Saccharomyces cerevisiae S288C: one gene and its partners. Changing the gene in region 1 together with any one later gene gives a genetic interaction. Each region holds a gene or a part of one and is shown in the gene's direction. Other genes may lie near its edges.

Region 1 (3,419 bases):
TGCTTAAGTTTTTATCATTTATTAAGGTCTGTAAATGCACCTTGGCATCAATTTGATTATTGATGTAGTTGGTGATTGATGTCTCTAGGATTTTAGTAAACGATGTTTGTTTCTCTAGAATTTCCTTTGGCGATTGATCTAAGGAATTCTTAAAAGAATGTCTTTTCAACATACAAAGGTACTCCGTCATAAGTAATATGTCGTTGGGCCAAATCTTTAAATAACGCGATACTGTCTCATTGAATATGTTATTGAATAAGGTATTATTTGACCGATATTTTCTTTTCAAAAACCTAAGAAAATCATACCTCAAAGTTTTGAAATCCAGTGGTAAGAACGTATTGGCTTTTTGGTATATATCCACTACCACTTCATCGGATATATTTTTCTTTGTTAGCCACTTAATATACATCATCCACGTATTTTCATGGTAAAGACAAGGAATCAAACATCTGTCAAAAACGGACATTACGAATTCTTTATCCAAGGATTTTGAAGGATCCGTCACAAATTTTAAATATCGCGACCAATTTTCCAAATCATCATTTAACACTTGGCCCAGGTTGAAGAAGGGCTGTTTGATTTTCGATTCGAACTGCCAAATTTCATTTACTGTTGTTTGTGTTTTTCGTAAAACTATATCAATATTCCTTGTTGTCTTCAAATTTTTTTCATTTAAAAACTTCTTGTAAGATGTGAAAAACCGCGCATACTGATGTAGAGGAACTTCAATAATGTACTCGTATATTCTTTGAACGTTATGCCAATTCTTCTGCCCAACTTCAAATTCTATAAACTTGTCCCAAAAAGGGTGTGATAGAAACTGCTTGCCAATAAGATCCTTTGCAATTTCAAAATTATTCCTAATAAAATCCGTTTCGTTCGGGTTATTAACACACAACACATTCAAATAATCACACCATAACTCCAGAGAAGTTGGGAACCATTTGACCGAGGTGGCCAGAACAGCAATCGATTTCTTGAGACCAAATAACTGGTACTCAATAGTAGCAAACCTCTTCCAAAATCCAAACAATAAAGGGTACTTACGCAATATTTGCCATAAAATAGTTTCCAAGGCCAATTTGATTGAATCATTTGGATTGCCATATTTAACCACTGTTTGCTCTATAACATCTACCATTTGGGTCAACGAAGAAATATCTGACCAGTCTAAACCACGATATGCTTGTACTAATGCTGTGTTGTCTTGAAGGAACTGGGTGTCCAAACCTCGAAGGGCATCAGGCCTAGGCTCAATATCTTCTATTGTAAAATTTGTTTCATCTGGCATAACGAAAGACGGATTGCCAAGTATCCAATAGCAGTAAGGGCCAAAACTTTTTGTTGAACAAAGAAATGGCTGTGGAAGGCGCGTTTTTACTTTAGGACTTTGAAAACTTTCTTGCGTAAATTCTGTTTAAGTCTGAAACTTTCAACTCTGTATTAAATTTGTTTTAAGATGTGCGACGGCGACGTAAAATGGTAAAGAAAAAGAAAATGAATGATAGTAAATCATACTGAAAACGAATGATCTGAAACAATAAAAAAAGATATTTGTATATAAATTATTCAGCCATGCTCAAACCTCCAGATTAAAAATCAATAATGGATTAATTGAAAGCCCTGGAGCTGGCATTTTTTACCACATTGTCTAAGAGGGAAAGGAAAATGACAACAAAGCGCTAAATAATGGAATCAAGTTTACAAAAATTGAAATTCCAGGATATTGACATAAATCTTATTCCTACTGCGAAGTGGACCACAAAATTACAGTATATTCTATACACCTGGTGTCAGTCGATACTACATGTGGCCATGTTTTTTTCTGATATATACACGTGTATTAAATTACTGGCATTTAACACATGGTCGAACAATATCATCCAACCATTCTTGGAATTCCGTATTTCAAAATGGTTGTTTAGCGGATGCATATTATGCTCCTCATTAATATTAATTTGGGAGTTGGTAATTGGATTGAGAGTGTATAGGAAGAAAGAGATTACATCGAACTACATGAATGGCATTAGCAGATTAATAAATTGCTTGTTCAATTTCAAAAAGTATCAAATTTTCGAACTAATAGTGCTGACTGATGAGAAAAAATTCAGTAAGTGGTTATTCTTTTCATATTTTGAAATCAGTGGATGTTTGAGGCTATTGTTCGGTGACTCTCCAAGGCAAATAATCAACGGATTAACTTTGTGGTCAGTTTTACTGACAGTTTCGAATGAGACCAGTAGCGGAACCCATAGTACTCAAAGCCTAGGTAATTTAGATGACCTAAATGGAATAATAAACAAGATAAAACATATTGCTAAGACAAATTACGAAGAAAGTGTGATCTTGTCCTTCATGTTGTTCTCGTTTATCATATGGGTAATTTTAATAAGCAAATTAATTCTAAGCATAATAATATTCATCATTTTTATACGTCCGAGATTTTTGTCTAGTAAAAGGAAGGTTAAGGGGTATGAATTGAAACTACGAAAGTATGTGTCTAAAGTCATTGACGAGAATTTAAGTAGAACTGTCTACGAATTGGGAATATTGATAGATGATGAGGAAGAAGGGACCATATGTGGTGACAACAAAACGCAAAAAAAATTCGATTATGATAGTCCTGATTATGGCGACGAAAGCACAATACCGAGTTACTACTGCTACTCGGATGTAGAAACGTACGAAAGAGTATATACGCCCATAAAGGCATATTTCCCCCAGAAATACAAACATAAATACATATAAATGTAAACGAAGCTTTTTTTGACTGCAAAAATGCATTAAAAGTAAATCGATTCTCATTTATTGTATATATATTGTATATATTGTATGAAATATTTATAATGATAATGATAGTAACAAAAACCATTGATGGCTATAAACAATGAAACAAAAAAAAGCACTACGAAAACAGTAGATTCGTGAGGAATTGAAAAAAAGAGTGAAAAAACTAATAAAAACAACGAGAGTAAATAGGATAGTACAAAAATACTAGGAGTAAAAAAAGGCCCTCTAGTAGTAGTAATAGTAATAGTAATAGTAGTAGTACTAGTAGTAGTAGTAGTAGTTAAAGGCTATGGTTGAATAAAAAAAAAGTCTGGATGGTAGTGTTTTGGTTTTACAATTAATTAGATTTTTTCAAATCATTCTTTTTTATACCAAAAGTAGCATCATTGTTTGATGCTTTCTCTTTCTCATCAGCAATTTCTCTTCTGAGCTTAACTAGCGAGGCCAGTTTTTCATCTGGTTCATAAATACCAAACCTTCTAAACCTCCTAATTTCAGCATTCATCTTACCAATATCCCCGTCATACTCTTCCAAGATCTTCTTTAGATTGTTTTCCAGCTCCACAAAGTATTCTTCACTTAAAATGAATTTCCGTTCGGTTTTAATAGCCGTGAAAGTGGAAGCA
Region 2 (3,214 bases), on another chromosome or scaffold:
CTTGTATAATTAATGCCATATATTTTGTCTAATTGAACAAACTCTGGGTATAGCTTATCGACGAACTTTTTTGGCTGATCGAAGCCATTGCTTTCACTAGCACACTGGATTTTCAATCCATGTTCATCAGTACCTGTGGTAAAGAAGGATAGATTACCTTTAAATAATTGCCATCGATGGTAAACGTCACTTAATAAGCTGGAGTAAAGATGGCCGAGGTGCGGTTTGGCATTGGGATAGAAAATTGGCGTCGTTACGTGGGAGACCTTAGAGTACAGACGATGCACAATTGATCGACATTGCATGTTTTCTTTCGATCAAAACCTATGCTTTCCTTATTTACCTCTGGAGAATAGTAACATTAAAATTTACATTCTTTTTTCACAGTTGTGCGGATTTATTTGTTTGAAACCACCATTGGACTACGTTTTAGTTTTTAAAGAAAGAGAAGGCACTTCGTAATCCAATGTTGCCTAGTACTGGTATTGCTTGCACTATACAAGGAAGTAAGTGTGATTATGTAATGCTGTATACACTCTTTATTCAAACATAGTTCAGAAAAACATATATACAAATATCGCCCCTAAGCCAATTCCCTTCAGACAAAAATTACCATGAGGGCAAAAACACTGTAGAAAATCAACAGTGGGTAGGCAATTAGCAATCTTGCATTTTGCAATTGGAGCAAAGAATTTAAAAATCCAGACGAGGTCCAAGTACTCCAAATTACAAATAGTACTGATACAACATAACCTGTAGTGTTGTTCAAACCATGGAAAATGCCCAGTAAAGAAAGGAAACACAGAGGCAAAAAGCAGTATCCTAAGATGGACGCTGTATTGAAAAATTGTAGGTTCGTTTGAGTGGAAGTATCGTTATTGCTCATTAATTTCGATAGATTGTGCAAAGAAATGGTACCAAACAAAGCGACACCATAGATATATCCAAAATGAACCTTTCCAGCCATCAATAGAAAAAGTCCGAATAACAAAAAGAATATCAAAGGCCCAGCCAAATCTGAATCGTTTAGAATTTCTTGTGGCACACCACTACCAAAACGTATTGGTATAAGAACCATTTTAGTTTTCGTTATGATATGATCGAAATTTATTCCAATTTCCTCCAGTAATGGAGGTTCATGTGGATATCCCTTAGTTGAAAGAGCATGTAAAATACCTACAGGCAAAGGGTCGGGGGCAACACCCAAATTGTTATCGTTGCCAGTATTAGAAGAACCGACGGTATTTTGAAAACTCATTGACCCTTGGGGAACGGCAAATTGTGCAGAAGGCTGATAAAAGCCACCGCCATTATTAGCATTGTTACTAGTATTGTAGAAAGACATCTCGAGAGGGACTAATAGTTGTCTTGCAGTACTTCCCGTCCAATTTGTAGCTGTTATAAGATGACTTGGTTCGTGTCACGTAGTTACCTCACTCAAATAGCAAAATAATCAATGGTTACCCGAAGTGAAAATTTTCGTGATAATAGCGATGAGATTTAAACCCAGTTATAAAAGTCGTACAATATTGAAGCTGTTGATATTGGAATTGAACAAGTACTAACGAGATACGCATTATCAAAACTAACGTAACAAGCACTACAAAATGGGTATTATCGACAAAATCAAAGCCATCGAAGAAGAAATGGCCAGAACCCAAAAAAATAAGGCCACAGAACATCATCTGGGTCTTTTGAAGGGGAAATTGGCTAGATACAGACAACAACTGCTAGCTGATGAAGCTGGTAGTGGTGGTGGAGGAGGGTCTGGTTTTGAAGTGGCAAAATCAGGTGACGCTAGAGTAGTTTTAATAGGTTACCCCTCCGTCGGTAAGTCCTCCTTATTGGGTAAAATTACCACCACCAAGTCTGAGATCGCTCATTATGCTTTCACGACATTGACATCCGTTCCTGGTGTATTGAAGTACCAAGGTGCAGAAATCCAAATTGTGGATCTTCCAGGTATTATTTATGGTGCTTCGCAGGGTAAAGGTCGTGGTAGGCAAGTTGTTGCAACAGCAAGGACCGCAGATCTAGTATTAATGGTTTTAGATGCCACAAAGAGTGAACATCAAAGAGCATCTTTGGAGAAGGAGCTGGAAAATGTAGGCATCAGGCTTAATAAAGAGAAACCAAATATTTACTATAAGAAAAAAGAAACTGGTGGCGTGAAAGTTACGTTTACCTCCCCTCCAAAGACCAATTTAACCGAACAGGCAATCAAAATGATCTTGAGAGATTATCGTATCCATAATGCAGAAGTTCTGGTAAGAGATGACCAATGTACGATTGATGATTTTATCGATGTTATTAACGAACAACATAGAAATTATGTCAAATGTCTTTATGTGTATAATAAGATAGATGCAGTATCATTAGAAGAGGTGGATAAACTTGCCAGAGAGCCAAACACCGTTGTTATGTCCTGTGAAATGGATTTGGGATTACAAGACGTCGTTGAAGAAATTTGGTACCAGCTGAACTTGAGTCGTGTGTATACAAAGAAGAGAGGTGTTAGACCAGTATTTGATGATCCTCTAGTGGTAAGAAATAATTCCACTATTGGTGACTTATGTCATGGTATCCACAGGGATTTCAAAGATAAGTTCAAATACGCATTGGTTTGGGGTTCTTCTGCCAAACATTCTCCTCAGAAGTGCGGCTTAAACCACAGGATTGATGATGAAGATGTAGTTTCTTTATTCGCGAAATAGTATAAATGAATAGATTTTAAAGAAACATGAAAAAACAAGATCAGCATCGAGAACTGTAGTACGGAGCAGAGATTTTGCATGACTAAACGGACTCATTTTCCTTGTAGTAGAAATAAATGCTGAAAATAGGTTTTTTAGTGAGAACCGGAAGGTGTTACTTTCATGGTATATTCGTATATACTTTTATAATGTAATTTGAAGAGCTCCGTTCATAAAAATTGTCATTCTGGGCTTCAAATGAATAAATAAACCCGAATGACAATGAAATCTCGAAATTATAATAGTGGTACCTAGTGTAGTAAGTATAAAGGAACCTTCTCTGTTGTATCTCAGAATGGGATACCTCAGTATGACAATACATCATCCTAAACGTTCATAAAACACATATGAAACAACCTTACAGCAAAACGAACAGAATGAGCAACATGAAAATAAAACTCTGCCTTCCTTAGCTAACCTACTCTAACGTATAAGTATCTGAACAATTGGTTTAGATCCAA
Region 3 (4,740 bases), on another chromosome or scaffold:
ATGATGGTAATGGATTAAGAGAACTGACTCCAGGTGAGTTTACCCAAATGGCTGGTAGAGCTGGTAGAAGGGGCTTGGATTCCACTGGTACAGTCATTGTGATGGCATATAATAGTCCTTTATCTATTGCTACGTTCAAAGAAGTAACGATGGGTGTTCCGACGAGGTTGCAGTCTCAGTTTAGATTAACATACAATATGATATTAAATCTTTTAAGAATTGAGGCGTTGAGAGTTGAAGAAATGATCAAGTATTCTTTTAGTGAGAATGCCAAAGAAACTTTACAACCTGAACATGAAAAACAAATCAAAGTATTACAAGAGGAATTACAAACCATAGAGTACAAAAGTTGTGAAATCTGTGATAATGATATCGAAAAGTTTTTGGAATTGATGCTGGCATATAAGGAGGCAACAGTCAACCTAATGCAAGAAATGGTTAAATCGCCTTCGATATTGCATATCTTGAAAGAGGGCAGACTCGTTGCTTTTAGGGACCCCAATGATTGCTTGAAATTAGGATTTGTATTTAAAGTTTCTCTGAAGGATGCTGTTTGTGTCATTATGACGTTCACAAAACCATACAAACTCCCAAATGGTGAGCCAAATCATTTAATATACTTTCCAAAAGCGGATGGATACAGAAGAAGGAACTTCCCTAAATTCCAGAAGACTGATTTTTATATGGAAGAAGTTCCTGTGACGGCTATTGAAGTGATCACTAAACGCAAGTTTGCCGCACCCTTGGGAAAAGTGATTAAAAAGGATGTTGCCGCTTTGAACGAGTTTAACGCTGAAACAAATAACATTTTGGACGGCAAAACGCTAAAAGAAGCAATTAACATTGAAAAGCAAGGTTTAAAAATTCACCAAATATTGTTAGACCGTACAAATATAAGGGATGAGATATTCAAACTAAAAAGCATTAAATGTCCCAACCTAAGCCAACACATTGTTCCCAAGTTTAAGGCGCATGTAATTAAAAAGAAAATTGAAGAATTGTACCATTTGATGTCTGACCAAAATCTGAGCTTACTACCCGATTATGAAAAGAGATTGGCTGTTCTGAAAGACACTGAATTTATCGACCAAAACCACAACGTGCTGTTAAAAGGTAGAGTGGCATGTGAAATTAATTCTGGTTATGAGTTAGTTTTAACTGAATTAATTTTAGACAACTTTTTAGGAAGCTTTGAACCTGAAGAGATTGTAGCCTTATTATCAGTATTTGTTTATGAGGGGAAAACCAGGGAAGAGGAGCCTCCTATTGTCACACCAAGGCTAGCAAAGGGTAAACAAAGAATTGAGGAAATTTACAAGAAAATGCTTTGTGTTTTCAATACGCATCAGATTCCATTAACTCAGGATGAAGCTGAGTTTTTGGACAGAAAAAGGTTTGCCATGATGAATGTGGTGTATGAGTGGGCCCGTGGTTTATCATTCAAAGAAATCATGGAAATGAGCCCCGAGGCTGAAGGTACTGTAGTCAGAGTTATCACTTGGCTAGACGAAATTTGCCGCGAAGTTAAGACTGCCTCTATTATTATTGGTAATTCCACATTACATATGAAGATGAGCAGGGCTCAAGAGTTGATTAAGAGAGATATTGTTTTCGCCGCAAGTTTGTATTTATAGAGAGCTCATTTATTCTCAATGTGAGTCATGTTTATAAAAGTTAATGTTTTCGAACTCTTATTGCACACACACACACACACGTATACATAGTTTTTAAGTCCACTTCGATCCATCTTTATTTTTTTTTTCTTTCATGTAAGCAACGGGCGGACTATTGTAAGAAAATTTTATATTGCCTCATCACATAAACTAATATGCGAACAATATACAATTGAATTCTCAACATTGCCCATTCTCAAAATTGCCCAATCATAGAAAGGAAAATGGCTCCTAAATCTAGTTCTTCCGGTTCCAAAAAGAAATCATCGGCAAGTTCTAATAGTGCTGATGCAAAAGCATCCAAATTTAAATTGCCTGCTGAATTTATTACCAGACCACATCCTTCTAAAGATCATGGCAAGGAAACATGCACAGCATATATTCATCCTAACGTATTATCCTCGCTTGAGATAAATCCGGGATCATTTTGTACTGTCGGTAAGATAGGCGAAAATGGTATTTTAGTAATAGCTAGAGCGGGTGATGAAGAAGTACATCCTGTTAATGTTATCACCCTTTCCACAACTATACGATCTGTTGGGAACCTTATCCTTGGTGATCGTCTAGAATTAAAGAAAGCCCAGGTGCAACCACCTTATGCCACTAAGGTTACCGTGGGGTCCTTACAAGGATATAATATTTTGGAATGTATGGAGGAAAAAGTAATTCAAAAGCTACTGGATGATAGTGGCGTTATAATGCCTGGAATGATTTTTCAAAACTTAAAAACAAAAGCAGGTGATGAAAGCATTGATGTCGTAATTACAGATGCGAGCGATGATTCGCTTCCCGACGTCAGCCAACTAGATCTTAACATGGACGATATGTACGGTGGATTAGATAACCTGTTTTATCTATCTCCACCTTTTATATTCAGAAAAGGCTCCACACATATAACTTTTTCGAAAGAAACCCAGGCAAATCGTAAATACAATCTTCCGGAGCCCTTATCCTATGCAGCAGTGGGCGGCTTAGACAAGGAGATTGAATCACTGAAAAGTGCTATTGAAATACCTCTTCATCAACCGACGCTATTTAGTAGCTTTGGTGTTTCTCCCCCTCGAGGTATACTTCTTCACGGACCCCCAGGTACTGGTAAAACTATGCTTTTGAGAGTTGTAGCAAATACGTCCAACGCACACGTCCTAACCATTAATGGCCCCTCAATCGTCTCCAAATATCTTGGTGAAACGGAAGCGGCATTAAGAGATATTTTTAATGAAGCAAGGAAGTACCAGCCTTCCATTATTTTCATTGACGAAATTGATTCAATAGCACCAAATAGAGCAAACGATGACTCCGGTGAAGTTGAGAGCAGAGTCGTGGCTACATTGCTTACCCTAATGGATGGCATGGGCGCTGCAGGTAAAGTGGTGGTAATTGCTGCTACAAACAGGCCTAATTCTGTCGACCCTGCTCTCAGGAGACCTGGCAGGTTTGACCAAGAAGTAGAAATTGGTATACCAGACGTTGATGCCAGATTTGACATTTTAACTAAGCAATTCTCAAGAATGTCCTCGGATCGTCACGTATTAGATTCTGAAGCGATCAAGTACATTGCTTCTAAAACGCATGGCTATGTTGGTGCTGATTTAACTGCTCTCTGCAGAGAATCAGTTATGAAGACGATACAACGAGGACTAGGAACAGACGCCAATATTGACAAGTTTTCCCTAAAAGTTACATTGAAAGATGTGGAGAGCGCCATGGTTGATATCAGACCCAGCGCAATGAGAGAAATCTTCTTAGAAATGCCAAAAGTTTATTGGTCTGACATTGGCGGCCAAGAAGAGCTTAAAACAAAGATGAAAGAAATGATACAGTTGCCTTTGGAGGCTTCGGAGACTTTTGCCAGGCTGGGAATTTCTGCACCAAAAGGTGTATTACTTTACGGGCCGCCAGGTTGCTCCAAGACATTAACCGCAAAAGCTCTCGCTACAGAATCGGGTATCAACTTCTTAGCTGTGAAAGGGCCTGAAATTTTTAACAAGTATGTAGGGGAATCCGAAAGAGCTATAAGAGAAATTTTCCGCAAAGCACGCTCTGCAGCTCCAAGTATTATCTTCTTTGATGAAATCGATGCATTATCTCCTGATAGAGACGGGAGTTCCACCTCTGCAGCTAATCACGTGCTCACATCTTTACTCAATGAGATTGATGGTGTTGAAGAGTTAAAGGGTGTAGTTATTGTAGCGGCGACGAATAGACCTGATGAAATAGATGCTGCTCTTCTAAGGCCTGGTAGGTTAGATAGACACATTTACGTTGGCCCTCCAGACGTAAACGCCCGCTTGGAAATCTTAAAGAAGTGCACAAAGAAATTTAATACAGAAGAGTCTGGAGTCGATCTTCATGAATTGGCAGACCGTACAGAAGGTTATTCCGGAGCTGAAGTTGTGCTGCTTTGTCAAGAAGCGGGCTTGGCTGCCATAATGGAAGATTTAGATGTCGCAAAAGTGGAATTACGTCATTTTGAGAAAGCTTTTAAAGGAATTGCTAGGGGCATTACTCCAGAAATGCTCTCTTATTATGAAGAGTTTGCTCTAAGAAGCGGTTCATCTTCGTAAGCTTGTTCATAGTCAATTCTTTTCCTTTGTGTGCTCAATAATAGTAGATAGAAATTATACTGAACTCCGGTCATTTTGTATAATATATTAATCACTTCACACGAACATACATAAATAAAATATCATAAAGGTTAGCAAATTGGAACTAGTTATATGTTAATTAGTTAAAAGATAGAAAATTCGAGAAAGGAAGAAAAAGCTGATATTGCCCATCTCCAACTTTATCAAATCATTTCACGATGAATAGATTTTGGAATACTAAGAAATTTTCATTAACAAATGCCGATGGACTATGTGCTACCTTAAATGAGATATCTCAAAATGATGAAGTTCTTGTGGTTCAACCAAGTGTATTGCCAGTACTCAATAGTTTGCTAACTTTCCAAGATTTGACTCAATCAACTCCTGTAAGGAAAATTACGTTACTCGATGATCAGCTAAGTGACGATTTACCGAGTGCCTTAGGCAGCGTTCCGCAAATGGATCTTATTTTTCTTATT

The links.
Region 2: mutations in PRM6 (region 1) and RBG2 together harm fitness more than expected from each alone (negative genetic interaction), as found in Saccharomyces cerevisiae (one large-scale study listed by BioGRID).
Region 3: mutations in PRM6 (region 1) and AFG2 together harm fitness more than expected from each alone (negative genetic interaction), as found in Saccharomyces cerevisiae (one large-scale study listed by BioGRID).

Annotation. Positions count from the first base shown.
Region 1 is NC_001145.3:179,349-182,767, reverse strand, and holds PRM6 (pheromone-regulated K(+) transporter PRM6), read left to right. Parts: upstream 1-1,692; coding exon 1,693-2,751; downstream 2,752-3,419. Other genes in the region: PRP39 (Prp39p), read right to left, coding at 1-1,294; GSF2 (Gsf2p), read right to left, coding at 3,131-3,419. UniProt on the Saccharomyces cerevisiae protein: Low affinity potassium transporter that, with KCH1, participates in high-affinity Ca(2+) influx system (HACS) activation during the response to mating pheromone. Directly promotes K(+) influx and HACS may electrochemically respond to this K(+) influx.
Region 2 is NC_001139.9:842,247-845,460, forward strand, and holds RBG2 (Rbg2p), read left to right. Parts: upstream 1-1,607; coding exon 1,608-2,714; downstream 2,715-3,214. Other genes in the region: methionine--tRNA ligase MSM1, read right to left, coding at 1-305; transporter YIP1, read right to left, coding at 599-1,345.
Region 3 is NC_001144.5:912,050-916,789, reverse strand, and holds AFG2 (AAA family ATPase AFG2), read left to right. Parts: upstream 1-1,897; coding exon 1,898-4,240; downstream 4,241-4,740. Other genes in the region: SKI complex RNA helicase subunit SKI2, read left to right, coding at 1-1,634; tethering complex ATP-binding subunit VPS33, read left to right, coding at 4,480-4,740. UniProt on the Saccharomyces cerevisiae protein: ATP-dependent chaperone which uses the energy provided by ATP hydrolysis to generate mechanical force to disassemble protein complexes.